Linked DNA regions of Struthio camelus. The protein of the gene in region 2 interacts with the protein of the main gene of each other region in a pairwise test. Links are inferred from orthologs where the notes say so. Each region holds a gene or a part of one and is shown on either strand. Other genes may lie near its edges. The genes, in order: TAX1BP1, DAZAP2, MAPK1IP1L and POGZ.

Region 1 (7,624 bases), on a different chromosome or scaffold from region 2:
TTTTGGGAAAAGCCACAAATTTCATCAATCTCACTCATACAGATTTAAAAATCCTGGCAGCTTTTGAATAGCTTTTCTTCATCAGTTGCAATTAAGTGCTGGAAAAGAAATCCAAAATATACAGAGAGAGGCTTTCGCCCTAATAGTAAATGTTACCAATAGCGTGCAATTTCTAGTATGTTCCAAAGGTTTGCCACTCCATCTTTCTGAAAGGCAAAGTCTGTATGCCCCGTGATTAGATTTCCGTAAATGCTGAGCAATTCAGGGTTGTCAGCCATAATATAAAACATTATTTATAACTGTTTAACTGTTTCAAGAGTATAGTTAATAGTTTTCTGTAACGTGATCTTAAAGAAGTTGATTAAGTGTGCTTTACAACGTGACCAGAAAGAGCTTCCGATTAGTGACATAGTGATACATATATTTTACATCTCACATGGCCCATACTTTTAAAAGTTGGGAGTGTTGAAATAGGAGTTGAACCAAAATGAAATCAAATCATTAGAACTTGAGCATTTCCTTACCACACTTCATCAATATCATCATGTCATGCCAATACACTGAATATCTACAACATAAAGCACCTTTCTCAGGTACTAAAAATCATAAATATGTAATTTGTCTGTCACTCATACAAAGCAGAGATGGGCCTCAGGGGAAGAACTGAGGTCTGGAACCAAAACTCCTCATGGCTTTGGTTCAGGCCATAATATAGTTAGTAAACAGAAATAATATTAGGATCTGAATCTGAGCACATGTTCAAATACACCCAAGGTTAAACAGACGTGATGGGGCCCCATTTCTAATTTGAAGGCTATAAATTACTAAAGGAGCTCATATTTTTAAAAAGATACTGAAATTACGCAAAAAGTAAACGATTTCCAAATATTCAAAAAAGTCTGTTCCCCAAGAGGCTGTAACATGCCTTACACTTCCTTTGGCCATTCTGTTTAGTGTAGTTTTTATTCGTCACTTATCTCACGCCTGAGAAGGGACTTGTGCAGATTTCATGCGGACAAAGGAAGACTGAATGTAATTACAAAGCAGAGGGATTTTTACACTCTGTAAGTACCAGCCTGAATTTCAAACCTCTTCAGAATCTAGTAATGTTCAAATTCAATAACTGGATTCACATACATTTTTACCTTATTTAGTGTTTCTGTCAAAACCACAATTATCAACTTGCCATTGTTTTTCTGTCCTCATATTTACACGCTTAAGAAATGTAGACACTTAAGAGAAGAGTTCTACCAGCTTTGTATTTCCAAATAAATACTCTGGTGAGATATTTTTCATCAACAATATAAGACAGATATTCTTTAGTAATTGTATATTTATGTAAATAAAAAGAGAGAAAACTGGGGTTTTTTTCAGCCTTAAGAGGAGAAGGCTATAGGGAGATCTTTTTGCCACCTACAGGTAAGTGAAGGATGTATAAAAGATGGAGCCAAACACTTTTCAGAGGTGCACAGAGAAAGAACAAACGGTAACAGATAAAATTGGAATGCAGGAAATTTACAGTTACATATTATATTATATATTACATATTATACATCATATTATATATTACAAATATATTACACATATGTTATAATATTATATATTACAAAAATATACAATTTTTTTTTTTTTTTTTTTACAATTAGAGTTGTCAAACACTGGAACAGGTTCTCTAAGCAGCTGTCAAATCTTCACCCTTGGAGATGCTAAAAACTTGTCTGGCCAAGGCCCCAAGCAACCAGCTCTAATAAAGTTCTGCTTTGGAGGTCACTTCCAAACTTCATGGTTCTGATTCTATGACATACATGCGGCTAATTGTATCAAAAGATACTTGACATTCACTGATTTTGCCTTTCAAAAAATCAAAATATTGGCCAAACACTGATTCTACATGCTTAGAGTACAATTCTGATATACATGATAAACATATGATTTGGTGAAAAATACCGGCTTGATCGACAACCCCCTCCTCCTGTGTTCTCATTTAAATCAGTGGGGCTGAAAAGGTGAAAGTCAAGCCAGAATCTGAGATAGGATTAACACCATCATGCCTGTAACAAGCTTTTCTAATTGAATTAGTGTATTAGTATTAGCCACCCACATGACTCACCAGAAATGTTGATATCAAACTTACAATACTAAGTATTTTGCAGCAAATGTAGGCAAAGACAATAACAATGTTTTGCTACTCAAGAGCAAGCTTTCCAAAATATTTATGTCACATGGATGAATTTCAGGAGATAGTATCTAATCTTCCTTGCCTAGAAAATTCAGACTGATTAAGGCATTTAACCATTAATTCTAAGACCAAGTACAAGTTTCACCAGTGCCAAGCACAATTTTCTCAGTCCAAACCTTTGTTTGTACCAGTACAGACACACTGACTGTTGATCTCGGAGTCACAGTGCACAGCTTGTCAATGTGGGTGAAGTCCTTCATATCTCAAAGCAGGACGAACAAAATAAGAAAAGGCTCTGAACACTCTCTATATAGGATATTTATGAATTCTAGAGGGTGAGGCTGGTATCTAAACTTAGGATACAAATATGTAAATAAGAATGCTAATTAACTCATTTAATTATTTCAGTAAAAAATCTGCTTAATTTGAATAACAGAAGGACCAGTTTTAGACTTACACAATCAAGATACAGAGTTAAAGAAATTACATATTTTTCTGAAAGCTGTGGCTGTAAGTACAAGCAAAGCCAGGATTATTCCTGATCTATTTTTCCTTAATTAGTTTACATTGTACATGTGACAACAGGCATATATAGTTTGTTTTGCCTCCTTATACATGCATTTAGCAATGGAAATAACTTAATACTGAATTATTACTAAACAATATCTCTTTTGGCTGAATGAACATTTACGAACTGAGTACAGAAATACATGAGGATTCTTTAGAAACTCAGAACTGAGGATAAAGTTTTTTTATTAGGAAATGGAGGGGTTTTCCAGGCATTCACTGTAAAAATTACGCTAGTTGCCAAAGAACATCTTTATTTCAAACTACCCATTATATTCCCATAAACTAGCATCATAATGACGTTAAGTGAAAGCAAAACTGCTTGCTAGTGTCATCAACGTTTACACTACCCAGCTAGTGACTGTAAAACCTCCTTTCTTTCCGCATTCCAGACCACAGAACAGTGCCTTGAGACTCTTTAACAGCCCTGTATCACATGTGATACAGGGCAAAGAGCAGTGAGGAGAAAAAATGGAGGACAGAGATAAGAAAAAATAGGTCTCCCCACCTATTTATTGCTTTTCTGATTAACGCATCAGCTTCATTTTCCATTACAAACATCCATCTGGCCTTAAAGGAGAAGACTACCTCCTATACACCTCTCGTGTCTTATAAAAGGATCTGCAAGTAAAATGCAAGGCATTTACTGGTTTCCATGGATAGTGGAATATACGTTTACTGTAAGAATTATGAATTATATATAAAAATCAAAGGGTTACTTACATAATAACCTGTGGTAGAAGTGAAGTCCTAAGAATAATATTTTAATATTGCTTCCAGTGACAAGAAGTGCTAAACAGAAGCAAAAAAAAGATTCATTTTGATTACTTGAAATGACAATTTTAGTGGTCCAGTTTATTTTTGTTTCCGTTAGGACTGACCATGAGAAAGCTATGAAAATCTATGACCATGAAAAACTTGCCAAAAAATAAGGCCTATGGTAAGCCAATAATTTTGTCATAATATGCCTCTCAAAATAAGCTGTTGAGAACATACATGAAAATACAGAAGAAAGAGCGGATCGTAAGGAGGCAAAGGTTTTAAAGACAACTTTCAGTAATGATCCACGTTCAGGGTACTGCAGGAAGTCCAGAATACTGATGATTACAGATAAGTATTTGTTGTCACTCAGCCTCGTTCTTCTGATACACGATCTAACGCTCGACTTTGGATAAAAATCAAGTAGACTCAGTGTATTTATTAGATAATGTACTTTAATGGAGATACGCCAATTTACGCAAGCAGAAGAACTGCATATACTGTAAGTATTTAATATCACTCTTATCTCACTCCTTGGTTGGTTTGGGAAGACCTGCAAAAGCTGGGAGATTAATAGTAGTGACTTATGAGGTGCAAGCACGCGTGTTTTGGATGGAAAAAGAGGTGATAAAATTAGGGTATGTGAGTATTATAGAATGGTCTAAGCAATGGTCTAAGAACTAATATGCAGAGAACTTTTGCAGGGGGCAGGTGCATTTTATGGAAGTAACAGCTGCACAGTTTTGCATATGCTAGGAATACCAGCTTGGCTAGGCTTTCTCACCCCTCTCCTTCCCTGAAGTACGCGCACCGTCTTGCATAACGAAGCAAGCTGTGCAACATGCTTTTTACGTGTGGTGTAAGCCACGGCTCCAGTGCCAGCTGGGCTGACGCTGGCAGGCTGGATACCTAGGGGCTGAACGGGAATGGTAAAGGGCGGGAGTGCCCTGAGATGTGGTGTCCAGGACGTGGCGGGGGGAAGAATCCTTGGAGAAACAGACCTGGGTGTTGCAGCGCCGGGCCGACGTGCGAGAAGCCTCATGACGACGCTAACCGCCGCCGCCCTCCGTCCCCGGGCGGGCCGGCCCGGGCCGGACCTCCGAGCAGCCCTTCCGACGCCCGCCGCCCCACGCCGGCTCCAGCCGGTTCCCGCTAACGGCCCGCCCCGCGGAGGGGGAGGGGCGGGGTTGGAAGTGACGCGAGCGGGAGGGCGGGGTCGTGAGGCGTCGATGGCGGAGGCCCCATGTTGATGTCCCCGGCGTCCTCCGCGCCTGCCTAGGTAAGGGGCCCTCTGCGGCCGGGGGGAGGAGGGGGGGACGACGACGAACGGGTCCGGCGCCTTCTTTCTCTCCTGCTTTCCTCCTCTTCCTCCTGCCGCGGGGGCGGGCGCGCTGTTAAACCCAGGGCTTCTGTTCTGCGCCATCTGGGTGCCTCTCTTCCTCCCCCCCCGCCCAGCTGCCTTGGACGGCTGGTAGTAGTGTGGGGGAGAGAGGAGCCGCGGCCGTTGGGGAGGGCGGCGCGAGGGGCGCGGCGGGGCAGGGGCGGCCGTTGGCCCCCGCCGCGGCAGCTGCGCAGGCGGTGCCGGAGGCTTTGCGGAGGCCGAGGGCGAAGGTGATTCGGGCCGGACAGGCGAGGCCGCGCGGGCGGCCGGCGGGGCAGGCAGGTAGGCCCGCGGAGTGGGAGGGAGGGCCCGGCAGGTAGGGGCCGGCGGAGTCAGGTGCGCCGCTGGCCGGGCCGTGCGGCTCGTCTTGTTTTCGTGTTTCCTGCCAGACAAGCTTGTCCTCCTTCGGTGCTTTTCGGCGTGTTAAAAGCGGAACGCCTCTTTCGGCCTCTCGGTGAGAATGGCTTGTCACGTCAGTAATAAAGCCTAAACGTAGCTCTTCCTCCTCCTCCTCCTCCTCCCCCCCCGGCTTTTCTCACACCGGTAGCTGTGAGCTAACTAAGCAAGCACCGAACATCCCCTAAGCTATTCTTGAACTGTTAGTGGATATCGGCTTCACCTAAGCTCCGAGGATTTTGCTGCTGGTGGACAGTAATCCCAGGTGATTCTGCTGGTCAGCACAAGTTCAAATTCGTAGTTCTGCTTTGGACTTGGAAAACAGATTCCCTTTATTAATGGTTTCAATAAAGATAATGCTCAGCTGTGGTAGCTGGCTGACCAGTATGCAGAAATGAATGCTTTGGGTTTTTTGTAATGTTTTCTTGTAATAAACTTCCCGGTATTTGAAATAGACCTATTTCAAAAAATGTTGAATTCCATTGCTTTTGTTATTAATGCTTTGCTTATTTTTTAACTTATCCTAGGTAACAAAAAACGGATACAGTCTGTTTCATGTCATTATTATTTAGCTTCAGAGACTACTAAATTATTAAAAATGAATGGGTTTATTACACTTGAAAAAAATAGTGACTATTCTGTTTTTTGGGGGGAGGGTTGTAAAAAACAGTTTTTTCTAAAGTTTATGGTTTGGAATGTTTTTGAGAGGTGTCTTGGATATAACTTTCTGATTGGGGGGGAGTGGGAATTTTCAGAGTTGTGCTAAGCTGTAGAACTTGCTACGCTTCTCTGTACCCTGGGGCTCTATAACAGACTGGATTTACGTGTATTCCCAAAAGATGTACTTCTTTATTGTCTCTAAAAAAGTTTTGTCTTTTCATATTTATTCGGATTCTTGTTTGTGTAAGTTTTTATCTTTGTCTAGTCTTTATGTCTGTTAATTTTTACTAGTAAGGCATTTTACATTTTTTTACTTGTGTTGTTCAGGGTACAAAACTGCTTTTTATTTAACATCCAATATACCAAAATAATGCTATGGCTGTCCATATGTACTACGTGTGTTACACTAAATGGGATGGTAAGAGGCTTAAAACACTGAGGGCTTAACTTAAGAGGTAAACAGAGATTTTTTTCTACTTGTTCAGACAGATGAGTATTTTTTTATTCCAGAGTGCATTTTATTTCAGAAAATGTGAGCTTTTCTTATTTCTTCACTGTTGCAAAGAAATTTTAAAAGGCTCTAGGAAATATACAGACAGTTCTTAATTGAGACTTGAAGTGGCCCATCCCTCTTTGGGATTGATTTCGTCATATATCTTCAAAAAATATTATCTCACACACTTGGCAGTAATCTCATTCAGGGTACATATTTGCTTGATCAGCATGAATTTATTTTTAATAGCGGTTGCAAGAACAAAGCAGCTCTTTTGGCCAGAAATGTAGTGTTAAATATATAAGGCCCTAATCCTCCTAATACCAGATGTTTTGACAAACTTATGATTGTAGACTGAAATCAGACAGTTGAAACTTAACCAGTTGTCCATCTTATCTTTTTGACAGAGGTGGCCGAATCTAAGGAAGGGAAGTTCTTGGTCTGTTTATGAAGCATCTCTTGCATTACTGTAGTTTTTTAGGGTAGTGTAACCTGAATGAGGTGGTGAATGTGATAAATGCTTCTACGATCTGGTTGAATTCAGTGTTAATCCATCCAACTTGCATATGCACCTGAATGTTCCCACTATCATCAAGTTCACTGTTTATGGCAGTAAAATTAAAAATGCAGGGCTAGGGGCGTATGTGTTAAAGCACAGTACAAGATGCCCACAGACTTCTATTTTCCTGAAGAGAGTAAACTCTTTGTCTAAACAGTTTTTTTTTTTTTAAATAAACTTTCTTGTTTGTTAAAAATGTCTTAAAATGAAAAATTGTTAGTTTTGCTGAGAGAAAAAAATATTTATACGTAAAAATGCTGTCAAAAGCATTAAGTAGCACAAATTCTGGGAAGAGTTTTAAAGTAAGGAAAATTATGGAACTTTGTTTCTCCTTCCCAGCAAGATTCAGAAACATTAAGTTTATTTCATGCAAGTCAGAACCCTTCTTGATTTTTTTCCTATCACTGCTTTTGCTCCCTACTTTCTGCTGCTGTTTCTGAGGTATAGTGTTGGGGGCATTCAGCCCAGGGATGTCTTTTCTGTGATGACACCAATATGAAGAGATGGCTACTCTTTCATTATGAGAAGTGATTGTTTTGGAGTGATGCTGAGGCAGTGTGCTTGGGAGACCTTGACCTATTGCTGTCTGGTTTTGGAACAGCAGAATTAGTTCTTAAACTTCTGTCTTGT
Region 2 (7,954 bases):
AACTTAGATGTATTTTAAATCTACAGGTTGGCTAAATTTGTCATCTTAACTCAAGGGGAAGCTGAACAGTGTTTGTCGCTTCAAGTGGATGATTCGGGTCTCATGCGAGAGACTGTGGGGACCGACTGCTGCCCAGCGATACGAACAGCAAACAAATCTTCCAGGCTAAGAAAATCCCTGCAGCTAAAAACCTCCTGGAAGAGTTTTCTCTTTTGGAGGGGCCCCAGAATAAAATAAACCTTAGGAGAAGGATCCTGCGTACCTCAGAATAAGCAGGAGGTGCGTCCGTGTATGGCGGCGGCTGAGGAAGGGCCATAGTCTGTGGGTACACGGGAGGATTGCCCGGAGACTGGACCGGGTAGGACGGCTGGGTGGGATATTGTCCTGCAAGGAAGAAAAGAATTCAGCCAGAGTCAGAAAACGCTCCGCGAAGCTGGGCAGGAAACTGCTGAGTTTGCGGAAAGCCCCTCTTTTCAATTCTCACGTGAGCAGAGTAACGGATCTAGGAGCGTCTGCACACAATGAATTAGAGGCGTTTCAGTCGGGGCCTAATAGCCAAACGGAGAGTGAAAATCCTTTCCAGGAATCAGGCTCCCGAAAAGGGCAGGAAGCCTGGCGAAGGGAGTCAACCCAACGGCGTCGTCCCCGGTCGCCGCTCGCGCTCGGACTCGCGAACTCTCCAGTCGACTCGCAGCCTCAGATTTGGGGCGATGCGGGAACGACACCGCCCCGAGATCGGGTTTCTCTTTGAAGCTCCTAGCGCGTCGCCACCAGCGAGGCTTCCAGGGAGCATCTCTTGGCGATCTTAACGTTTTATAACGCAAGACCCGTCCCTCCGTCTGCCTCCCATCCCGAGAAACAAGTGCTGCGTTTGGCTCGTACTGAAGAGAAAGGGTGCAACGCGCTTTGTACTGCCAGCAAAACAAACCAGATCTGACGCGGAGACGATACCTGCCACCCCTGGGCCTTTTAAGCTGGAGCAGAACAAAGATCATGTCTCCGTGACATGTCTTTCACCTGCCAACCTAAGCGGTTTCAGAACAGAGTTAATCTTTAAGTGAAGACTGTTAGGGAATTGCATTTAATTGCTCTGTCGCATCCGGAGGTTGCCAACACGGTTCAAAGAGCAACTGGTGCTACGGTCCGAGCTCCGAAGGCGTTCTTCTCCCCAAGCCGGCACAGCGGTTGGGAGCGAAAAAAACAAACAAACAAACAAAAAAGCAAAAAAAAAAAAAACCCCTGTGCGTGCGTTTGGGTGCAGGGAGGGAGGAAGGGGCGAGCGGGGAGCTTTGCCGTGGCACGGTCAGGCCAGGGCCGAAGCGCGGCCCTGCGGACATCTCGGCTCCCTCGCAGGAGCGGAGACTTGGAAGGCGCCTCGGGAGCGTGAGTCAGGTTGGGCCGGAGCGCTTAGCAGCGCCCTTTCGCCGCCGCGTCCTGCGGGAGCCGGCCGGGGGGGGGGTCCCGCGGGTGCCCCCCCACCCCGGGGGGGGTCCCGCTCCCTATGCTGTCCCCCGAGGGTGAGGGGTCACCCCTTTGCATGGTAGGTGGGGGGGGGGTCTCCCCTACCCCAGTGGGTTCCCCCCCAGGGGGAGCCCCCCATCACCAGAATGATCCCCCCTGTCACCGGGGGGTCCCCTATATCATTTGGGGGGGGGGTCCCATTCCTGCATCCCCTAAACCCAATGGGGGCCTCTTACCTCATCCGGGGGTCCCTTATGTCATCCAGGGGATCCTGCTACACCAGCTCCCCCTACATCATTGCAGGGTCCCCTAGGTCACCCAGGGGGTCCCCCTGCTCCAGCCCCCTGCCCCCAACGGGGTCATCATCAGGAGGACTTTATGTCACCCAGGGGGTCCCCCTGCCCCCAATGGGGCCCCTTACATCATCATAGGTTCCCCTATGTCACTCAGGGGGTCCCCCTGCTCCAGGCCCCCCCTCCCCAATGGGGTCACCTTACATCATTAAGAGGTCCCTATGTCATCCAGGGGGTCCCCCTGCCCCCAATAGGGTCACCTTACATCATTGGGGGTCCCCTATGTCACCCAGGGGGGTCCCCTTATATCATTGAGGGTCCCCCTATGCCACCTAGGGGGTCCCCCTGCCCCCAGTGGGGTCCCCTTAAATCATCAGAGGCCCCTATGTCATCCAGGGGGTCCCCCTGCCCCCAATAGGGTCACCTTACATCATCGGGGGTCCCCTCTGTCACCCAGGGGGTCCCCCTGCCCCCAGTGGGTCCTCTTACATCATCGGGGGTCCCCTCTGTCACCTCGGGGGTCCCTCTGCTCCAGTTCCACATCAACATATAATGGGGTCTCTCTGACGTCATCCGGGGGGGGTCCCCCACTCCAGCTCCCCCCGACGCCTAATGGGGTCCCCCTGACGTCATCCGGGGGGGATCGCCGCTACGTCATCGGGGGGGGTCCCCCTACCGCAGCTCCCCCCTCCCACGTGACCGGGGCGGGGGGAGGGGGGACTCCGCTCCCTACGCACACGTCACCCGCGGGGGGCGGGGTCCCGCCTCGCCCCGCCCCGCCCGAGGCGCGCGGCAGCCACAGGGTTAAGGGCCGGGCCGAGGCGCGCGGCGCCATGGCGACCCGCGCGCGCGCCCACCCCTCGCTCCCATTGGCCGAGCGGCGCCCGCGCAGCCCCGGCCCGGCCGCGGCGTCACGCGCTGCGGCGCGGCCCTTAAAGGCGCCGCGCCCCGGAGCGGGCCGGGGCGGGGGGGGCGGGGGGAGGGCGAGGACCTGCCGGGAGTCGAGTCGATGCCCGGGGGGGGGGGGGGGAAGGTGGGCGCGTCGCGGCGGGGCCCCCGCGTCCGGGCGGGGGGCGGGGCCTCGCGCTGCCGGGGCCTTGCCTTTGCTGTTCATGGCGGCGGCGGCGGCGGCGGCGGGGGGAGGCCGGGGCGGCGCTGGCGGTGGCGGCGGCGGTGGCGGCGGCGGCTCCCGCTCTGCCCGCTCTGCCGCGCGCTTCCTCCTTGTTGTCACTGCGGCGCTGAGGGAGGGGGCAGGGCCCGCGCGGGGGGAGGGAGGGAAGGGGGCGGGGCCGGGGGGGAGGCGGGGGCGGGCGCTAGCGCCGCGCTGCGCCTCTGCGTCATCACGCACGAGGGGCGGGGCCTGTGCTCTTAAAGGGGCCGTCGGCTTCGGGGCGAGGGGGCGGTGCTCGGCGGAGCACCGCCCCCTGGGCGGGGGGTGGCGCCCCTAAAAGCAGTCGGCCTGAGTGGGGCCTGGAGAGAGGGAGAAGGCCCCAGGCAGGGTCTAAGAGCAGGGGCCTGGGGCCTGAGTGGCCTATAAGGGGCTAAGAGCAGTTGGGGGGGGGGGGGCAGGTAGGGCCTAGAGTAGTAGGGGGGCCCCAAATAGGGGTTGGGGGGGGAGAGAGGCCTCTAACTAGGTCCTAAAAGCATGGGGGGGGGGCAGCCAGGCCCCATAGGTGAGGGGAGAGCCTACACAGGGCCTAGCAGGGAGGGAGAGGTTCCCTAGGCAGGGCCCAGAGTAGTTTTGGGGTCCTCAGTTCAGGCCCCAGGGCAAAGGGGGGGGCCCTAAACAGGGCCTAGTATGGAGCCAGGTGGGGCCTAAAGTAGTTTTGGTGCCCCCTGAAGAGGACCTGGGGGATAGGGGACCCTGAATCAAGAGCTAGTAGGGAGGGGTATCCCCAGGCAGGCCCAAGGGTTGGGAGGGGGAGCACCCTAAGAAGGGCCTCATGTACAGGGAGGGGTCTCCAAGCAGGGCCTAGAGTAGTTGTGAGGTCCCCAAGCAGGCCCTGAGGGAAGGGGGACTCCAAAGCAGGGCCTAGCAAGGAGGGAGGGATCCCCAGGTAGGGCCTAGAGTAATGGTGGGGGTCTCAGGCAGGGTCTGGGGGTGGGAGGGGGGGGTCCCTAAGCAGGGTGTGGGGGTGAGGGAGGTCCCTTTGCAGGGCCTAGGGGCACTGAGGGGTCCCTGGCAGGACCCAGCCTGGCCCAGCTGCCTGCGCTGTCCAGCAAGAGCCTTCGCAGGGCTGGGGTGGCACCGAGGAAACGGAGGGGGAAGAGCCCCTGGCGCTCTCCCTGCTTCCTCTGGGATTAGACGCAACTCAAGAAGCCACCTTCGAGTTCATGCATAAAAGATCAATGGAAATGGTTGGTAACCTCCAAATATTGTTAAGCTTAATTAAGCCTTTAAGGACTGTGTGAAGCATCAGTGGGCAGAGCTGCTCGTTAGCACAGTGAGGGCTTTGTTGGTTACTGCAACCTGAGCTCCAGGTTATGTTAGTTCTTCTAAACCGTATGCTTGGGGCTGTTGTTAAAGACCCCAAGTCCTTCCTCAGACCCCATTTTCTGCTTCCCTGTGGCAGTGAGCCCACAGCTGCCCCAGAGACCTTCCTTTCGGACGGCAGCATCCTGCAATGGGACCCATCGGCGTTGGTGTGCCCTCCCCCAGCGCGTGGGGAGGGCACAGAGCGCCTCTTGCCTGCGTTAAAGAACAGGCTCCTTCCTGGAGAGACTGTAATGTGCCCTTCTCGCCATGAACGTAGCCAAAACGTTGCTAAGAAGTTGAAGGTAAAGATGCAGGAGGAAGAGTGCGTTTCTTGGGCTTCGGCCCTGCTGCTCCCCTTCATCCAGCAATAGCACAGCAGTACATTTATGGAAATAACAGGTCTTTGGTTCAAGCACCCTCTTGCCTTGAAATTAGGCCCACTTTTGCAGAAGTGGGCAGTTCCCACCCCCTTGGTGCGTTTGCCCTGAGCACCTGTCAGCTGAATCAGCGCTTGTGATCTAACCTTAAGAGACTTCCCCAATTGTAGCCTGTCCTTTAAGGACTTTGGTATGAGCTTAGGGTCTAAATACTGTTATAAAAATCTGTTGCAGATTGCTCGATAGGGTTTGGATCATGCTGTCATCGTGGGACTTCAGACATAACAGGAGCAAAAGTAAAGCTCTTCAGCGAGGTATGGATCAGCTGCTATGTACAGACCTGTTGTCACGATCCCCTGCCCAAGATCCACCAGCAGAAGGTGCAGTCACAAGTCTGGAGCTGTGTATGGAGAAGGTATGATGCAATTCCCTAGTAGTTTCTATGTGTAAAGTCTTCCTTCTTGGAAATGAGTTTAAAAAAATCCATATGGATTGCAATAAAAGGAGCCCAAAAAAAAAAAGAAAACCAACCCCCCTTTCTTTCCTGATTTTTTGCTAAACTTTCTATCTGCATTTTGGTCAGAGTTTGAGGGCAGAACCTTCTTTATCAAGCTCATTTTCAGGCATCTCAATCAACAATATCATTGTTCTCTTCCTGTTTAAGTGAACATCTCATGAATAATGTACCGGCTGCCTGATGAATATGCACAATGGCTGGTGTGCCTGGGAGGGCTTCATAAATGATTCATGCCCAGAAAATGTTCTTCACCTTGCAACTGTACGGGAACTGTAAAAAAATATTTACCCTTTAAAGTGGGAGAGATGGCCTGAAACCTGCCCAGGGAAATGCTGAGTGAGGTGGGCTGGAGTTAAGCACAGCAAAAGCAAGGGAGAGCACCTCCAAGCAGTGAAAGAAGCTGCATCCAGGAAGGTGATTTCCGAGCTCTGATTTCCCCCTCTACAACCCAGTCCTGGAAAGCCCCAGAGCTTGCTGAAATCACTCAGAAACGAGGCTGTTCAGCAGCTCCCGAGTTCAGGCCTTATTTATTCTAACAAATACATGACTACTTCTGCTCTGCTGACATCCCTATACAGAGAGCTTCCTTGCACAGGAGAAGTGAAAATGCTTTGGGAGGTGCAAAGGGCAAGCATACACTTTCCATTCAGAAGGGCCAGGCTCTTCAGAAGGCACCTACCTTCAAATGCCTTGGGATTGTTTTTATGTGTATTTTTATCACTGATTACCTTGTTTAAGGGCCTCTTGGGCCTCCAAGAGGAAAACTCCAGTTACCATCAAAAGCTCTGGAGGAAGAAAAAAAAAAACCAGCTCATGGTGTCTTGAGCTGTGCGGTCCCAAAATGGAAACCTGTGAAAGTTGAGGCAGCTTCTGGATGCTTGGCCGTGTGCCAGCGGGCTTTGCTTCCCACGCCGGGCAGTTCTGAAAGGCAAAGGGACTGTCTGCAAAGAGCCGGGTGTCGCCTTGGCACTATGCAGGCATCATGCAAAACAGATGAAGGCATAAATGGTCCCAGTCTGCCTTTTGGGTGAGCAAAGGCCCACTCTGGAAGTCCTTATTTACCCGGCGGGAGGTTATTTAACCCCGATGGAGAGCAGAACTGGCTTGGGTAATACCTATGATTTGCCACTTTAAGAACATGTGAAAAGTCAGCTGAGGATGCTGCTGGCCTCACAAGCAGGTACCTGTTTGTGAACTTTGCTCAGGTGAGCAATCAGAGGTAACAGGTTGTTTAAGGCAGTGAGCACCCTGCAGGTGTAGGCCTGTAACTAATTACCTAAAAATAATGACTAAACAATTGAGAATTACTTCATGATATCTTCCACCTAGGCAACATTGTGCCCTTCCTTTCACCACCAATGAAGTTCAGGGGGTTCTGTCCCCCTTGGCTTTACGTTGGGTGAAATTTGGTCCCAGTAACAAAGTGACATAAGGAAGGCCTGAAAATCCCATGGGAATTTTAGAGCCTATTTACATCTTCCGGGGAGAAGAAGAAGTCCAAGGCCAGATCTAGCATGGTGCTGGAGAAGCTGCATTAAGTCCCCTCTGTGACTGCTAAAAGCATGTGCTTGAGCTCAGATTCAGCACAGTTTGTGAGCAACTGGAGTCACTTTGCTGCATGGAAGCCAAAATAAAGTCTGGCTTGCTTTTTCCTGCACTTTCAGTCACTCTTGGAACATCTGGAATAAGCTGGTTCATGGAATATTTGTTCCTTGTAGGACTGGAAACCATTCTGTAGCAAATTAGATGTGCCAGAAACCACATGGTCAGGTGCAAACCCTTCCCTGACCCATTACTGAATCTGATTAGAGCAGCCAAGTCAGCAAAAGAAGTGTGGACAAGAAAGCTGCAATATTAATTTGGTCACCTACCAAGAGCTCTCATCGACAGAGCAAGCTCTGGAACAAAGGACGCATTCTTACAGTCAGCGTTTTAGTTTTACCAGCTATTTCTGTCGAATGGTTAATTAAAATCCCCATCCTCCCCCCCCCCCGCAACAAGCTATTTTCCTGAAGAAAAAGCTTTTTCGGCACTCATAAAATCAATTCCTCTTGAAGAAAAATTAAAAATGCAATATGCACCCTTTCCCCATATGCATTATATTAAATAGTATGCCAATGTATGTAAATGAGTCTGAAATTCAACTAGATGGAAGTATTTAAATATTCATAATCACAGTACAGCATATGCAAACCAGGCTCTCAGCAGAATTGCGCTGCAGTCTCAAATAACAGCTGTACTCGGGCAAAGATGCTTTAACACAACTAATTCGATTATTAATGAAAATGTGGTCAGCGCTGGTTGTATGTTTGTTAACATTCGTGCAGTGGTGTTAACCTCTGCCAAATGTTAAGCACGTGCTTAATTCATATCGAAGTCGGTGGACTCTAAGTATAAACTTTAATGATTTGCCTACACATCACCTCACCGTTTGCTGAGCTCCTCTAATTTGTTGCTAATCTGCACTAAATATTATCATATTTTGTTGGTAATAAGAGGATAGTCTAGTCTACGTTATGTTAATTCGAGAAACCTTTCGATCCACACAAGAAAGGATGTGGGCTAGAATTTAGCCTCTGAAGAACGGGACGTGGTGTTTACGCTTTTTTAACATTAATGCATATTACCTAAGTTCTAATGTATATACTCACTCATGTATAATCAGAAGTGCATTTTTGAAGTGAGTTATGAATATCTTATGATGAACCCGGAAAGGTGAGCATGAGGCACGGATTTAAAATTAGTCCATTAGCTTTTTCTACAAAGAAAGACAGAAGGTGTAATTCTTTTCAGCTGATATGGATGTGAAAGAATGAAGTAAAAATAATTC
Region 3 (7,525 bases), on a different chromosome or scaffold from region 2:
TGTAGGGGGAGGAACGTTCTGTGTTTCCTTTCTCCCTTCTTTTCCTAAGTAGCTGGTACTGCCCAGAGTTAGATGGGACGCTAGGCTGGCTGGACCTTTGATCTGTCCCGCTATGACTAGTCTAGGTTTTTCCTCCAGGGGAGTATGTGTGTTTTGTGTCTATATCCATTAGAGAATCAGGGCTGTGGGAAATGTTGACTCTACTCTTAGTGCTAGGCCAAAGCTTTTAAGAATCGGCTACTCCTTACCTCTCCTTCCTCTTTCCCAAAAAGAGCTTGACTTACAGTTGCAAGATTGGAATAAAATAAAATAGAGGGGACTTTTATTTTCCTTTTTTTTTTCCCCAAGCCTTTGAAAAAATGAATTTTCAAGATTGTCTCCACAGCAGTGAGCACTTGAAAATATGGTCCCTTAGAGAATTAAAGGCCATAATTTCATATTATCTGACTGTAGGAGCTGTGGCTGTAAGCCAAACAGCAAATGTCACAAAACTCATTGAGAGACTGTGAGGAGTGCAACATTAGCCCAGGAACCACAGTTTGTGATTGTCTGGACGGGCAGAGGAAGGGGGAAGGGAAGACTAGGAGGAGGATCGATAAAGGTTCGGATCCCTAAGGAAGGCAGGGGAACTGCGGGTCCTTCTTTGGGACTTGGGAGAAGGTGGGCACTTCTCTGGGAGAACACACAAGAAGCAAGCATGCCTAAAGTCCCCCGGCTACCAGCGCTGTATGGTGTTTTGTGCAGGAGGCCAAAGTGACAGAAGCTAGAAGCAACTTGAAGGGCTGAAGTGGCGTTCGCATGAGTTGCCAAAGTTCTTTTCTGGTCAAGCTTTAATTTTTAGTACTTTTCAAAAATTCCTTTTAGGGAATGGAAGATAACAGGAACAGGTCCCAATAGGTGGGTTTCATTGGTGTCGCATAGAGAGGAATTTTCTAATTCTTATTCACTGAAGAACAACAAAAAGTGAAAAGTAGCTACTGTTACTGCTGTCAGATATAATCAGTAGCTCAAAAATTTGAAAACAAACTCATGCAGTAGCTTGACACATAATCAAACCTCTACATATCCACCACTATAGAAAGAAAATATACCAAAAAAAATCACTCCTTGTCACAGAAAACCCTGTGCATTAGTACCTAAGTGACTATCAAAGTGTCTTTAATGACAGTTCACCTGTTCATAATTGCACAACAAGCAGAGAGCAATGATTCCTTTCCAGCTAAATCTAGTTTATCTCATCTTCTCAATAGGGTACATTTGCCATGCCAGTGCACTTTGAACCAGTTTTATGATTTTATCTTCATGGTCACAAGCCTCTGCCTTGAGAAAGAGCACTTATTAACTAGAGACTGTGTCATTTTCAAAGTGATTTATTTTATGAGGGTTTTGAAATAAATTATCAGTTGGTGATTGGCCACAGGGGAAAAGCATATAAAAGCTTAGCACATGCATTGAACGTACCATCTGGTATCCTTTAAAGTCTAGCTTCAGGGTGGCTCAGCTAATTCTTCAGAGTGCATAATGTTCACAGTGCACAGTGAAGCATGAATATAAAAGTGGAGTGCCATAACCCAGTAAGAAACAACGTTGTAACTGTAGCTTAATATCTTACATCTTACTGTTGTAGCCCACCATCAAAGGCTGGCGTTTTCTTAACTAAAACTGATTTTGCATTCCATAACTTTAATCTTATTACAAAAATCAGAACTACGCCCCCCCCCCTCTTTTTTTTCCCGGTTAGTTCTAAAAGGGATGCCTCCGCTGTGTTTTAGATTTCCTCATTCTGACTCGCTGATGTAAAAGCAGGCGATACAAAAAGCATACTGTTATTGTTCCTCTGGATATCTTGTTTGTGGTATGCACAGCCTTTTGGGTGTGATAAAGTTTCCTGACTCTGATGTTTGTCACATCTCGAGATCTCTATTATTATCCCTGAAAAGCACTAAATTCTGACTTGTTGGGGACCAGAAGCTGAAATACAATGATATATAATTGAAAATCCGGTAGGAAAGGTACAAACACTGTCATTGTCTCTGCTCCCACATTCCCAGCGAGACTAAGGTATATCCTTCAACAGTGTACTCACAAATGGTCATGATATTGCTTAAAATGCATAATTCAAAGCTTACTTTAAGTATTGTCTATTGGTCTTTTCCTCCCAAATTCAGAAAGGCTAAGGTAGACAATTGTACCCAGTTTTGCCATTAAAAGACGAGAGACGTCAACAAACTGGAGGGAGCTCAGAGGAGGGCCACTGACGTGCTTAGGGGATTAGAGCACATGACATATGAAAAGAGGCTGAGAAATTTGTTTTTTTTAGCTAGGAGAAGAGAAGGGGAGGATGGCTCTAATTGCTGTCTCCAGCTACCTAGGGGGTTATAGAGCAGACAGATGCTTCTCAGTTGCAGCAGGAAAGTCTGACTAAGTACAAGAAATAAATGCTTCACAATGATAGCACTGAAGTACCGGGCTGACCGTCCAGGGATGTTGTGCAATCTCCATCTTTGGAGATATTCAAATGCTTCACAATGATAGCACTGAAGTACCGGGCTGACCGTCCAGGGATGTTGTGCAATCTCCATCTTTGGAGATATTCAAAAGGCAACTGAACAGAGTTCAAAGCTAACCCTATTCTGAAGGGGAGACTGGTCCTTTCCAACCTATATATATATATTTGACTCTAAAGAAAAACAAAAGTTGCATATGCTTGCAATGTCCTGCAGCGTGGACCTGTGATAAACAAGTGGCATGTGTATTATCACATGTCTTTCTGAATAATTTCAGTAATATCATCACAGGTCCTATAATGGAGGCATGGAAAATAACGCCTCTTACTAACTGGGAGCCAAGTTGCTTCTGCGCGGTTGCCATTGTCTTGCTTGAGAGCTGCAGGCCAGCAATAAATTTGCTATTTCAACCCTTTTTTTCCCGTTACATATTGAGAATGAACAAGGAAGTGTCTTCCAGCAGCATGTGGCCAGGGCTAGGTGCTAGGACCCCCAAGTGCTGTTGCTTGCACCGACTGGATCAGCCGTACACAGACCAAGTGAAGTTGCATTTGCAGCTCTTTTTACAACCTTCAGCGTATACATGCATGCAGATGAAGAAACACATTTGCCCGAGCAAGCCGAAAACTGTGTACACAAACAAATATTTATAAGAAAATGCACAACCCTTTGTTTCGGCAGAAAGGGGGACACGTTTACGACGTGTCAGATGGTCTTAACAGCAAGGACGGCTGGCGAGGTTATTGATTAAAAGCGCCGTCACCGTCCCAGCTTGATACGTAAGGTGAGGCATCATAACCCGCCTTAGCCACATGTGTGCTCGTTAATTAAGCTTTCTAACGACCAGACTGTGCAGGAAGAAGCGGGCATGCTCAGGGGACGCCCGCTGCCACCGCGGCGCGACGGCAGCCGAGGGCCCCGCGGCAGCCGCCTGGGATGGGCGGAAGATGCATTTCGCTGTTATTCGCTCACTTTTCCGAGCGAGGCCAAGGCAGAGGTGGTGTTTCCACAAGGACCGAGCGTCAGTGATCGCCGGACACTTGAAAAGGCGATTGCGAAAGAGCTGTGAAGTCAGCCTGAGTTTTCCACGGGATTTAATAATATTCCGAGTGAGAGGATTAACTGGCTTTTCACACCATCACGGGACCGGGTGTGTAGTAAATTGTTTAGGTAGTATGAATTGCGCAAATAAATTGCTTCAGTAAAAATATTTGCACTTTCCTGCCTGTCGCGGCGACTGCGACCCTTGGGGCCTGCTCCTGCTGGTGGTTTTTCCCTCTCCTTTCGGAAGCAGGCAGGATAACGGCGCTGAAAAGCGCGTCACAGTTTGGGAAGGGCAGGGCAGGAAAACGACGGTATGTATTTAGCCGTCATGGCCGTGACGGTCTGAAGGGAGAAGGTAGGTAGGTAGGGAGAGGTAGGGTCTTTTATCAGAAAACCTGGAAAACCTGCCAAGTTTTCAGGTGCGCAAACCGTCTTTCAGGTCCCAAAGGCCAACGCTAAAACTGGCTCTTTTGGGTAGCTCGGCCACGCAGCCGCGACCGCCATGCGGGGGGCTTCCGCGCTCGCCGAGGGGAAAAGCAGAGCGCGGGGAGGCAGGAGTTAAAAGTCCCTCCTCTCACTGGAAACACCCCCGGCGGGAGGCAGAAGTCACTTTGGTGAGGTTTTCCCGATTCTCGGTTTCCTGAGGAAGGGTTTGGGCTGGGGGGGGGAGGGGGGAAAGGGGCCCGTGGCGGCACCGCGCGCGAGCCGCGGCCGTTGGGGCGGCGGCGCCTCCCCTCAGCGCTAACGGCCGCCGGCCGCTCCCGCTAGGGGCCGCCGTGGGGCGGCGGGAAGAGGCGCCACGTGACCGCGGCGCCCCGCTGAGGCGGGGGGGGAGGGGAGGAGGAGAGAGGAGGGCGCGTCGTCACGTGACCCGCGGCGGTGTGGGCGGGGAGAGGGCGGGGCCGTCCCCCTGGGGAGGCGGGGCTAAGGAATACGTGACCTTCCGGTAGGTGGAAGTGGAGGGTGCTGATTGGGTAGTGGGGTGCGTGACGTAGTTCCGCTTCCGCCTGGGCGTCGGAGGGTGGCGGTGCAGCTGCCGGGCCGGTTGCTCCGGGCCTGCGTCGCCGCCGCGCTCCTCCCTCCATCCCTCCGTCCCTCACAGGTAGCGGCGGCGGCCCCTCCCGCCCGGGCCCGGCCCCTGAGCGAGCGAAGGGGGAGGCGGGGGGGCTCCCGGCCTCGCCGCATCCCCGGGGAGGGCGGGCGGTGCCGCCCCGCCGCGGCCCTCGGGCCCTGCCCTGCCCGGCGGCGCGGGCAGGGGGCCCGGGCGGGAAACGGACTCGGCTCGGCTCCCCCGCGGGGTTTCGTGGCGCAGCTGGCTCCTGCCGGCCGCCGGGGCTTTGCGCTTGTGCGGGGTCGGCTTGGCGGCGGCGGCGCGCTGGGGTGAACGGATGCGCCTGAAACGGTTTCTGTGTAATGGTGGTATTTAGTGTGTCGTCACCGGGTGAAACATATCGCTAGTTCCTGTGTGCGAAATGCCTGTAAATGACTGTCTAAATGAGCGTGCGTGATGTCAATGACTGTTTAGCTCCAAAATTCTTCCTTGCTGGAGAAAATCTTTGGCGAGTCTATTTTCCATCGCTTGTGGGCATGTTTATTCGTTTCATGAAATGCAGCATGTTTAAATTTTGTAAGGTAGCTGGCTTATTGGACAAGCTAGTGCAATGCTGTATCGAAGAACATATTGCCTGGGGAGAGAGCTGCTTAAATGGCAGATTTCATCTGTGGGGGAGAGCTCAGTGTTTCTACTGGATCTCCATGGAAAACGGCGTTGATCTGATGCTATTCAACTTCATTGTCAGTGGATGTGAGAGCAAAGGCTGTTGCAGCTTTTTAAAACAACCACAGAAAAAGCTCAAAGGCTGCAATCCCAAGACCTGTGAATGATGCCAAGATGTGTGGTAAATATTAGGCCAATCCTGGAAAGCATTAAGTTCATTCAAGGAAAGTGCATCTTAACAGTGCCAAATCAAGATGAAAAAGGTACAGCCTCGCTCCTTAGATGTGGCTGGTATCCTGGAAAACCAGTTATCCTGGAAAAGAAGCTCTATAAAGTAGTGGAAAAGTTCATATTTTCTACTGGTTACTGTTGAGACTAGAACTGGGATCTGGCAAGCAATTTTGGTGCTGTTATGCATTTGAAAGGCACAATTGGAGAGGATGTGGAATAGTTACCCTCAGGGTCTGTCTGCTTAGTTTGTCCAGAAAAAAAAAAAGCTTTTAATTGCTCAGTATGTAGCTTCTGTCAGAGGAGAACATAGGTATTCTTTAAATAGCTCTTACAGCTAGTTCAGGAAGACTTTTGAAGATTTGGTAGTTGGAAGCTAAAGCTAGAAATTAGAAATAAAGCATATTTTTTAAAGTGAGGATAGCATGAAAATGGACTCTGTGACATCCAAAGGAAGTGTAGATGCAATCATATGGAAGATGCGTCTTTATTATTGTGGGCTGCTATTGTGAGCTATGTGTCTTCTGCAAGACTCACGGTGTGGGAGTAGTGTGGACAAGAGAAATGTTATTGGTTTTATACCACAGCTGGCAGACAAGCAAGCCACCTCAGAAGTCATGCATGTTTTGCAGTTTTGGGTCACCACATCACAAATGGATGGACCATCTGAAGTGATTAGGTCCAGTGTTGGTGGGGAGGTAGCTGTGAAACTGAGTGGCCTGTCGTACGTGGAAAACTGAAACAGATTGTAGTTCTTTCTGGCTTTAAATTTTGCAGTTCTTAACCATTTAAAACCTCTGTTTTAAAGAGTTATTTTTCTTGTAGTTGATGATCTCCAGTGATTGCACAGACATGCATCACGCTTTGTTGTCATTCTTAATTAAATCTGTCTTGAAAATAATCTAAAAACTAAATCCTACTCTTGCCCTTTCGATCAAAGTAGACCTGTGAAAGGGCAAGAAGATCATCAAATCTAAAATAGCTACCAGTGATCTGATGACTGCTTTTTCTTTCTCATCTGTGTATCAGTGTTATTCATCTGGAGAATAAATACCTCTGCAGGTCAGACTGAATGATCACATAGTGCACAGCTGGATAAACCTGGCTTCCAAGAAGGCATTAAAGATAGGGAAAGGACAAGTAAAACATGTTGGTGCTTAATGACTGAAGGCAGAAGCTGCAGAAATTTGCATATTTTGGAAAACACTTAGAAGCTGTCAAAGATTTGGTCTCTTTTCCATTTTATCGGTATAGCTATGTTGGTAGTTATATTTATGTGGGCAGAAATCTTGTTGTAGATGAGGTTATGCTGGTAGGGAATTAGTCATGTTACAGTGACAAAAGAACCTTTTTGCTGATAGAGGCATGCCACCCAGTGGAAATGCAGCTTATATCAGCAGAGTTGTTGCATGTAGAAAGCATTTTTCTGTATTTGAGAGAGAATCTTGTAGACAGGAACTAAATCTGGCACATCGAGCGTTCAAAAAATATCATGCAATTCAAAAAAAAATTGTGAAAGCAGTTGATACTTTGTTTGGGGTATTTTTAGCCGCTCCCCCCCCTCCCCCCCCAAAAAAAAAAAAAGTTTTAGACAGTTCATTTTTATTGTGGTCATTAGGGATTGATGATGGATAAAAGCCAAAGAGGGCAAAGCATGGAGGAAACGTTACTACATCTCTCTGTTTCCTTTGGGTAGGATATGATCAGAGAAGGGCTTATAGCTTAAAAGCATTGAACTGTTTTATTTTGGAAATGGAAGGATTTAGCCTGTTGCATGTAGCACCATGCTTCTATGTATTTCAGTTGGTCTTGAACACTGTTGGTAGAATAGGAGATTATCAGTGCTGTGTAGTAGGGCTTCTCAACCTTTCTGCAGTGTAGATCCCAACAGATTTACTTGTCTTAGCTACCTGTTATTAATTAATTCTCAGGAGTAGTTCCCAGTATCCAGGAGTCCATGGACTCTTGTCCAAAGGTTGTGCTATATATGGTTTCTGAGTAGGTGCAGTAGAAGTCTGTGCGTTAGCCC
Region 4 (7,857 bases), on a different chromosome or scaffold from region 2:
TAATACTTTTGTTGCTCAGTTAGGCTCTCTCAGAAATAAGGAAGAGAGACCTGTATGAGCTGAAGAACTGGACCCCAATGATCTTTAGTGCCCATATTTGTTAGATTAAATGTTTGGTGCCTTTTAAAAAGAACTCCTAAGGTTTGATCTGAAACCTCAGTATTTACCCTTATTGCACAAATATGCATTCAAATAATAGCTTGTAATTGTGATATATCTTCTTGGCAAATGGGATCCAAAACTTCAGTAAGAACTCTAAAAATATCCTTTGTTCATGGGCTCATTTGTTTTCAAGAGGAAATATCTTTATAAATGTAACTCCAAATGCAAAGCTCTAACTGTTAATCAATTCCCCTAGGACCTCATATTGTAATAGCTTATTTAACTAAAAACGAACAAACCAACAAACAAACTTTAAAGGATCCTCAAAAAAGGAACAAAATAAATTGTGCTCTTTGCTTCTCTACAAGATGTTAAAACAGCCTGGCAGATTTTCACCCTAGACATAGAAATTTAAATTTTTAAAAATGATTTTAATAACCTTTTCAAAGATACAGAAATGGTAACTGAAACGTGCACATTTAGGAGCTATGTAGTTTAAAATGGCTTAAGTGAAACCCTAGTTACTCATTCCTATCTCACTGTATCCGCTAGGTTGTACAGAAACAACAGTGACCAAGAAAAAAAATGCTCTACAAATTTAGTTATCATTAAGAAATTCTGGAGAGAAGGGAGAATTTATAGCTATAAACTAAATAACTTTAGCTGAAAATGTTGTACTCTGTGTTACACCTTGCCAATATGCATGAGAAACAATGTATTTAAGAATTAAATTGAACATGGAACTAATTAATAGGTATCCTCAGGCATCACAGTGACCCATTTGTGCAAAATATTAAGGAAAAATATTTAATGGAGGATTCCCCACATCCAGTCTTTTGAAATAAAACACCACACTTGATTTCTGCTTCATGGATGTTTCCAGGGGAGATTGGTAAAAGCATTTTAGGAAGATCTAGAGACATTTATTTCAATTTTTTTTTGAGAAAAAAGAAAAGTTCAAAACTTTATATGTAAGTTAAAACATGTGGATGCTTTAAACTTTCAGATCTAAGGAATAATAATTAAACCTTAAATTTAAGTTTGAATACAGTGGTATAAGTGAAATGGAAAGACAGTTCTGTAACCAAAAGGAAACAATGAAACGTCCTACACTTGAAGTGCAGACAAATGAATTGAAAAAATCAGAGAAAATTTGACAATTTGACAATTAAGTAGTAAGCTCGAGTGTTTTGGGCCACCAGCATGACTCACTGCATAAGCATCTGTCTGCCTTCACATATGTGGCTCAACCTATCTGCCACAAGAAAAAAAGAAGTCTCATATATATATAAAACATGTACATACACACACACTATATATTAAATATATATTATATATAAAATTTTGTTTTCATATTGTAAGTTGCATTCTCAACATTTGTTTCTTTCAAACATATTCGAGTGGAAATTTATGCTCCCTTGATATCTTTATTTGTTCTTCTGGCCAGCCCCGCACTAAATTTTTCTGAATATAGTTAAGAATTGGAAAATGTCTACATCTCGTTCCACTTTCAGAGCTAAAGTACATCCTTGCAAAGAGTTTCTCAGCTATTCTAATACCATATTGTGAAACCTTTTGACTTTTTGCTTTGACACCAAGGAGGCTGCAGGTGGTTATAATCTTAGACCCCTGGCAAAAGCCTTACACAGCAAACGTCCAAAACACTGGCAACCTGCAGAAGCAAAACAAAATATTCTAATTTACTCTCTTTGAGATATGTAATTTATCAACTGAGTTTTCCTGTGTCAATCAAACTTTTTACTAAAATTTAAATTACATTAGGAAAACGTGTAAGGATTATGTTGGGATGCATATCTGGACCTGCTTTACCATCATACTTAGATTGGTTCATGGATGCTGACCTAAACACAGTCGGTTTTTCTTGTGAATGAGTAGTAAGGAAAATAGTTTTTTTTTTCCCACAGATATTTACTTTCTTTGCACTTCAAGATTTTTTTCTTTTTAGCTGCAGATCATCAATGTAAGCACCTGTAGTGCAGCAAATCTAGTAAAATGTCCAGGGTGCAGGTACAGTTGCTATTTATTGGATGAAATGCAAATGTTCACCTATATACTGTAAAATATATGTAACTAATAATTTTTTCCTAAATAAAAAGGAACTTTCTTTTTGGAGCAAGAATATCAGACTCCTGTCTAACTGTCCTAGTGAATTTATGCATTTCAACAGCAAATGAAAAAATCTCATTTTATTGTACTCCCCCAAATAGAGAACTTTCCTTCTGTTCCACTTGTGAATGAAAAACAAAAAAACTCATCAGTTCTGACATGATTTAAAACAGCTACATTCTGTCATTAATTTCATTTGAATTTGGTATCTGCAGTACACACACTGGATAAAGACAAAATCACCATGGTCAATTCTTTTTTTCACTTTAGGTATAAGAAATATTGCATTTACATGGAAGAAATCAAATTTGGGATCAGTAAGTGATATTTTCATTGGTGAACACAAACATTATTCATCAGTCAGTACTGTAAAACTTCATCAGTAAATCCTAGTTGCTATTGACATCGGAATTCCGATTACAAACTAACTTTTTCCATCACTAGCAATGCCAGTATTAGTGGCTGTTTTCCTTTTTATTCAATGAAAAATTACTTTTTATGCATAGCTTCTGTCTCCAGATGACATTTTTGGAAAAAGCCAGTGAAAGTTGCTAGTACTATATGAAATAATTAAATAATACTTCATCCAAGGCAGAGGCTCCAAAGTGCAGTCAGGAATACAAATGTATAACTACTGATAATAGTATTTGTTATTATTATCAGTGGCATAACCACAGAAGAGAATGTGGCCCTTCATGTTGCATATATATATACATATACATACATATATATATATATATATATATATATATATGATTTAGAGATGACACACAGTTAAATGAAAATGCTTCCCCCCTTCAGTATGACGTGAAGTTGCCTGGTGTACTGTACAAACTAGGAAGAATGACTGGTAACTCATGAAGAGCAACAGAAGAAAATTAATGTGCTTGCTTAATGAACTGCAGAATAATAAATCACATTCTAGCAACACATGGATATCACAGCAAGGGGGTCCATTTGGGAAATATACTACCTACCAAATTCCTAAATAGTTTTTTCAAGAATGAATAAGCTAACATTTCAAGGATGTTGAAAACAGGTTAAAAGAATTCTAAAATCTATACACGTATTTTTGTTAAATACGTTAACTATTAATACTAACCACACATTATTCTCAATTCTCTTCAATTATCCTCACCATATTCTCTTCAATATTCTGCCTGTACTGAACGCAGTTAAAAGCTGTATGTCCTAGCATTACTAAATTATTCACAATAATATGTTTATTACTAAGGATATAAACCATTTAAATTTATGTTAGGGAGAAACACAGTCACTGATTTTATCTGTTGGCTTGACAGCCCAGGACACTTACATGGCACTGATCCAGCAAGGTACTTAAGCAAATGCATAATTTTAAGCATTTACATAGTTGCTTTGATTATATTTGGATTGTTTATATACTTAAAGTTAGGTACGGGTTTAAGTATCCACTTAAGCAAAGCCTTTTTATCTCTGTGGACAGCTCCTAAGGTTGGTCTGTACTGCTATATCTACGCGCCTCAGTTCTGACTTCCTTGCAATCTCTACAGAAGCTGTAGAAGTTTATGACAATTTAATCCTTTGTCTCCTCCTTGAGGCTGTCACTGAGGGATGAAATCACTGCCAACTTTTGATGTGACTGAGTTTTTTTGAAGGGCTATGCAACTATTTATCTCTACTTTCTATCAAAAAGGCCTCAAATTTTGTGGGCCCTGGACATCTCTAACCACTGAGAGTTATCTTCTGGAGGTGGTTGTTTTGAGACCCAGCCACCTGAGAGGCATTACTAGCCATGCTACGGAGCTGAATCCCAGCAACGCCACCAGCCACTGAACCAGTTACCCTTTGCGGCCGATGGGTTTCAGCCCTGTAACCACATCAGCAGCTCTTCCCATCTTTCCCAAGACAGCTACTAGGCTGGCTTGACTCTTGGCCACACCAAAACCACCAAAATAAAACTCTGCATTGTAACTTTCAGTCCTAATCATAACATGAACCACCTGGTTGTCGCTGCGCCTACGGCGAGCCGTCACCATCGGGCTAGCTGAAGGCCAGCAACCGCAGCGGGGCTGAGCGCAGCCAAGGAAGGCGCGAGGGCCTGAGGGCCCGCGAGGGCACCTGCCCCGGAGCCTGCCTACACGCAGCTGAGCTCCCCAGGCTCCGGCGGCGGCCCCGGGAGGCGGTCGGGCGCCGGGGGCGCCGGCCAGGCCTGGGGGCCGCCGCAGGCAGCCCCGCCGCGGGCGCCCGCCCGGCAGCACGGAGGCCAGGCGTCGCCGGCGGGGCAGGGCGCGCCACGCGGGCCTCGGGGCAAGGCCTCGGCGCGGGGGAAGCCCGGGCCCCGAGGCGCCCCGCGCGGCGGCGGCGGCGGCGGCGGCGGCGGCTCCCCGGGGGCGGGGGCGCGGGGGCGCAGGGGCAGCGGCGGCCGCCGGCGGGGCGGGGCGGGGCGGGGCGGGGAGGGAGGGGAGGGAGGGGAGGGAGGGGAGGGGGAGCCGAGCCCGCCCCGCCGCCTTTGCGCCTCACGCAAACTTGGCCAGGGGCAGGCTAGGGTGCGCCGGCCTCCCGGTGACGTCATCCCGCCGCGCGCCAATCCGCCCGCCGCCCCGGGGCCCAGGAGGAAATGACGTCACCGTATCCCTCCGCCGGCCAGGTCCCCTTTTTTTGTGTGTGTGTGTATGTGTGTGTATGTGTGTGTGTGTGTGTGTCTGTGGGTGCCTTCTTGTGTGTATCAGCCCGCAGGGCTCTTTTTTTTTCCTTCTGACAGAGCGGGGGGGGGAGAAAAGCGGGGAGTCGCCCCCTTCGCGAAAAAAAAAATATATATAGAAGAGAGAAATTAATAATCCTCCTCAGCATCATCACAATAGAGGTTCCCGCGGGGAGGGGGGGTTGGGGAGCTCATGCCACCTGCCCTCCCCTGCCTCTCGCTTCGCCCTGAAAGCGGCGCCGTGCGGGGGGGCGTGTGTGTGTCACTTTAAGAGCGTGTGCGAGCAGCCTCGGCGGAGGAGGCGGCGGCGGCAGAAAGAGGGAGCGAGCGAGGAAGGTGAGTTGGCGCCAGTCCGTTATGTGGGGGCGGGAGGGCGGCGGGAGGAGGGCAGGGGGCCGCGCGGGTGGCGGTCGGTGACCGTTGGAACCGGTTCGAACCGCCCGGGTCTGGGGGAGGGGGGAGCTGCTGGGGGGGCGGCGGCGGCGGGGCCAGCGCGCCGTACACAAAGCGGCCGCGAGACGCTGGCGGCGGGGAGGAGGGAGCGCGAGCGCCGCGGCGGCGGGAGGGAGGGCTCGGGGCTGCCGAGGCGGAGGAGGGGGAGGAGCCGCCGCGGCTCCCGCTGGGCGGCGGAATGCCGCCGCTCGCCCGCCCGGGCTGGGGGAGGCGGAGTGATCCGCGCACCCCTCCCCGCACCCTCCTGGAGGGGGGGAGGCGGTGAAGCGGCCTTGGTGGCTCCCTCCGCTTCCCCCCCTCCCCTTCGCGCTCCCCCCCCCCCCCCCACCGCGCAAACAAAACACCTCGGCGCCGAGCGGTGCCTTTTCCCGGCTCACACAGGGCCCCCACTCCCCCCCCCGCCGGGGGAGGGGACGGCTGCATCCTCCCTATCTTACCTCCCCCCCCACCTTTCCCGCGGCTGGTGCTGGGTGGGCGGCCATGTTGGGCACAGGGATTATTTTTCTCTCTCTTTCTTAGCAGCCACAATAAACTGAGGACGGGTTTTGCTTTCTTCCTGTGGATAAATGTCCTTTCTGCCTTTCTTAAGGGAAGTTAGCAGTGAGGATAGTCTCTGTCTACTCTGGAGGGTGAGAGAACCCCTTTTTGGCCTGCCTGTTCTCCACCGCTCCATTACCTTCCTGGCTGAGGGGATCTGGGTTTGCCTGCCTAATAACCCTCTCCGCAGGAGCTGACCGCTCAGGAACAGGAACTGCTTGACTTGTTGCTCACCTGTGCCTTCAGTGTCATCTTTCCTGTCCTCAGGACAAGACAGGTGCCACCACATCAGTGTTGGACCCCTCCCCCCCTTCCCACAAGCATGCCTTCTTTAGACTGTTAGTTACTTCTTCACCTTGTCCCCAGTGTCCAGTGGAAAAGGCTCTTCCCAAGCACATCAGCTTCTAAGTATGTAAAGAGGGGGAGGTTTGTTTTTTGTTTTTGTTTGGCGTTAGGCTGCAGGTCCTTGTACTGTACTTGCTTGCTGTACTTGAAATCTTGGATTCCTTGCTGCCCTTGGCCAGCACTTTTTCCCTGGTCAGCAGCATGCCTTGATCTACCTGCTTGCCTGGCCTCTTGCTAGGCTATAGTAACACAGTTTGGTGTGCCGGGTCGGGGAGTCAGTTTAGTGGGCTCCTGCATTTCTCAAAAGATTTGGTCCACTGAAAGACTGTATGGAAACACCCCATAGCTGATTCCTCAGGCTACAGGTATTAAAAATTAGATGTTTGGTATCATCAATGCATTTGCTTCCTTTTACCTGGTCCTTACCATGCTACTGCTCAATGCATTTGCTTCCTTTTACCTGGTCCTTACCATGCTACTGCTCTCCCTAGTATGTGGGAAACCTAGACTGCTGCTATTAGGCCATCCTTTCTTCTTCCCCTTGTCTATGCTGTGACATAAAACGTGTGGAGATGTGGGAGAGGCATGAATTCTGCTGCCCAAAACCCTTGCAGAAAACATGCAACACATGACAACACACACAGCTTTATTTTTATTAACTTGGCAGCAGTTGCAGCTGTCACCAAGACATGCCAAATGGGGCACAAGTGAGTGATTGGAAGTGGGGGGTAGAGGAAGGGGAATCTGTTGCTTCTTTTAGGAAATACTTTGCAAGGATATACAAATTGCATCCTCTCTTTCCTAGATCTCAGTGTATACAGTATAGTAGTTTGAGGTTGTCAGATGTTAAATTTTATCTTTGAATGTAAGGTCTAGCTTACTGTATGCGCATCTTTTTTTCTATTGTAGAATTATTAACATACGTAAAATTGTCCAGTGGATTATTAACATAGGTAAAATTGTCCAGTGGATCTTCCCACCCAAAGAACTTCCTCTGCCTTGCTACTTTAAGCTCTAGCTGCGGGTAGGGTTCTGCAAGTGTTACTTGTGGTTGGTCTTGTGTTTATGGTTATATATGGTTACATTGTTAGTATGCGTGATCCCCACAGCTGCTTAGATACTGTCACAGAAGGTACAACTGTCTTCATGCAAGTAGAGCCTGTGTCCAGATTGAAATTAGTAGAGTGCTGTATAGTGTCTACTCACAAAAGAGCCAGTTGCACAAACATAGCTATAGGCATGCTCTTGGACTCTAGAAGCACAGGCTTGCAGCTTATGGGTAGTCCTAGGGTCACAAAAGGTGCCAAAGTGTTAAGCCAGTCTGCAGAGGCAAATATCGGAAAGCAGTACATTTTTATTGTTCTGCAATTCAAACATGAAGGTAGATAATAATCATGATAATTGGGTGTGTAATAATAATACATTTTAATTAGTAGGCATTGCACACTTCAAAGCCTTTAATAAGACATATAAGACTTAAGATGATAGTATTCATAGAAAGTTTAATAAGCCTTTTAAAATAATTTCAGTAGCCAGCAAAGTCAAGTCAACCACATCAGTCAACAAAAATAAATTTACCGTCGCCTGAAGGATATAACTGTTCAATTCTG

The links.
Region 1: the proteins of DAZAP2 (region 2) and TAX1BP1 interact in binary tests that used the Homo sapiens proteins (3 or more experiments, as listed by UniProt). The two-hybrid records come from large-scale screens. The link is inferred for Struthio camelus from reciprocal best matches to the Homo sapiens genes DAZAP2 and TAX1BP1.
Region 3: the proteins of DAZAP2 (region 2) and MAPK1IP1L interact in binary tests that used the Homo sapiens proteins (3 or more experiments, as listed by UniProt). The link is inferred for Struthio camelus from reciprocal best matches to the Homo sapiens genes DAZAP2 and MAPK1IP1L.
Region 4: the proteins of DAZAP2 (region 2) and POGZ interact in binary tests that used the Homo sapiens proteins (3 or more experiments, as listed by UniProt). The two-hybrid records come from large-scale screens. The link is inferred for Struthio camelus from reciprocal best matches to the Homo sapiens genes DAZAP2 and POGZ.

Annotation. Positions count from the first base shown.
Region 1 is NC_090943.1:39,462,321-39,469,944, forward strand, and holds the start of TAX1BP1 (tax1-binding protein 1), read left to right. Parts: upstream 1-4,619; 5' UTR 4,620-4,784; intron 4,785-4,806; exon of another isoform or gene 4,807-5,168; intron 5,169-5,219; exon of another isoform or gene 5,220-5,340; intron 5,341-7,624.
Region 2 is NC_090969.1:2,097,700-2,105,653, forward strand, and holds the start of DAZAP2 (DAZ-associated protein 2), read right to left. Parts: upstream 3,009-7,954; 5' UTR 2,869-3,008; coding exon 2,856-2,868; intron 385-2,855; coding exon 263-384; intron 254-262; exon of another isoform or gene 27-253; intron 1-26. UniProt on the Homo sapiens protein: In unstressed cells, promotes SIAH1-mediated polyubiquitination and degradation of the serine/threonine-protein kinase HIPK2, probably by acting as a loading factor that potentiates complex formation between HIPK2 and ubiquitin ligase SIAH1.
Region 3 is NC_090946.1:79,478,921-79,486,445, reverse strand, and holds the start of MAPK1IP1L (MAPK-interacting and spindle-stabilizing protein-like), read left to right. Parts: upstream 1-4,520; 5' UTR 4,521-4,653; intron 4,654-7,525.
Region 4 is NC_090971.1:208,891-216,747, forward strand, and holds the start of POGZ (pogo transposable element with ZNF domain), read left to right. Parts: upstream 1-4,841; 5' UTR 4,842-5,248; intron 5,249-7,857. UniProt on the Homo sapiens protein: Plays a role in mitotic cell cycle progression and is involved in kinetochore assembly and mitotic sister chromatid cohesion.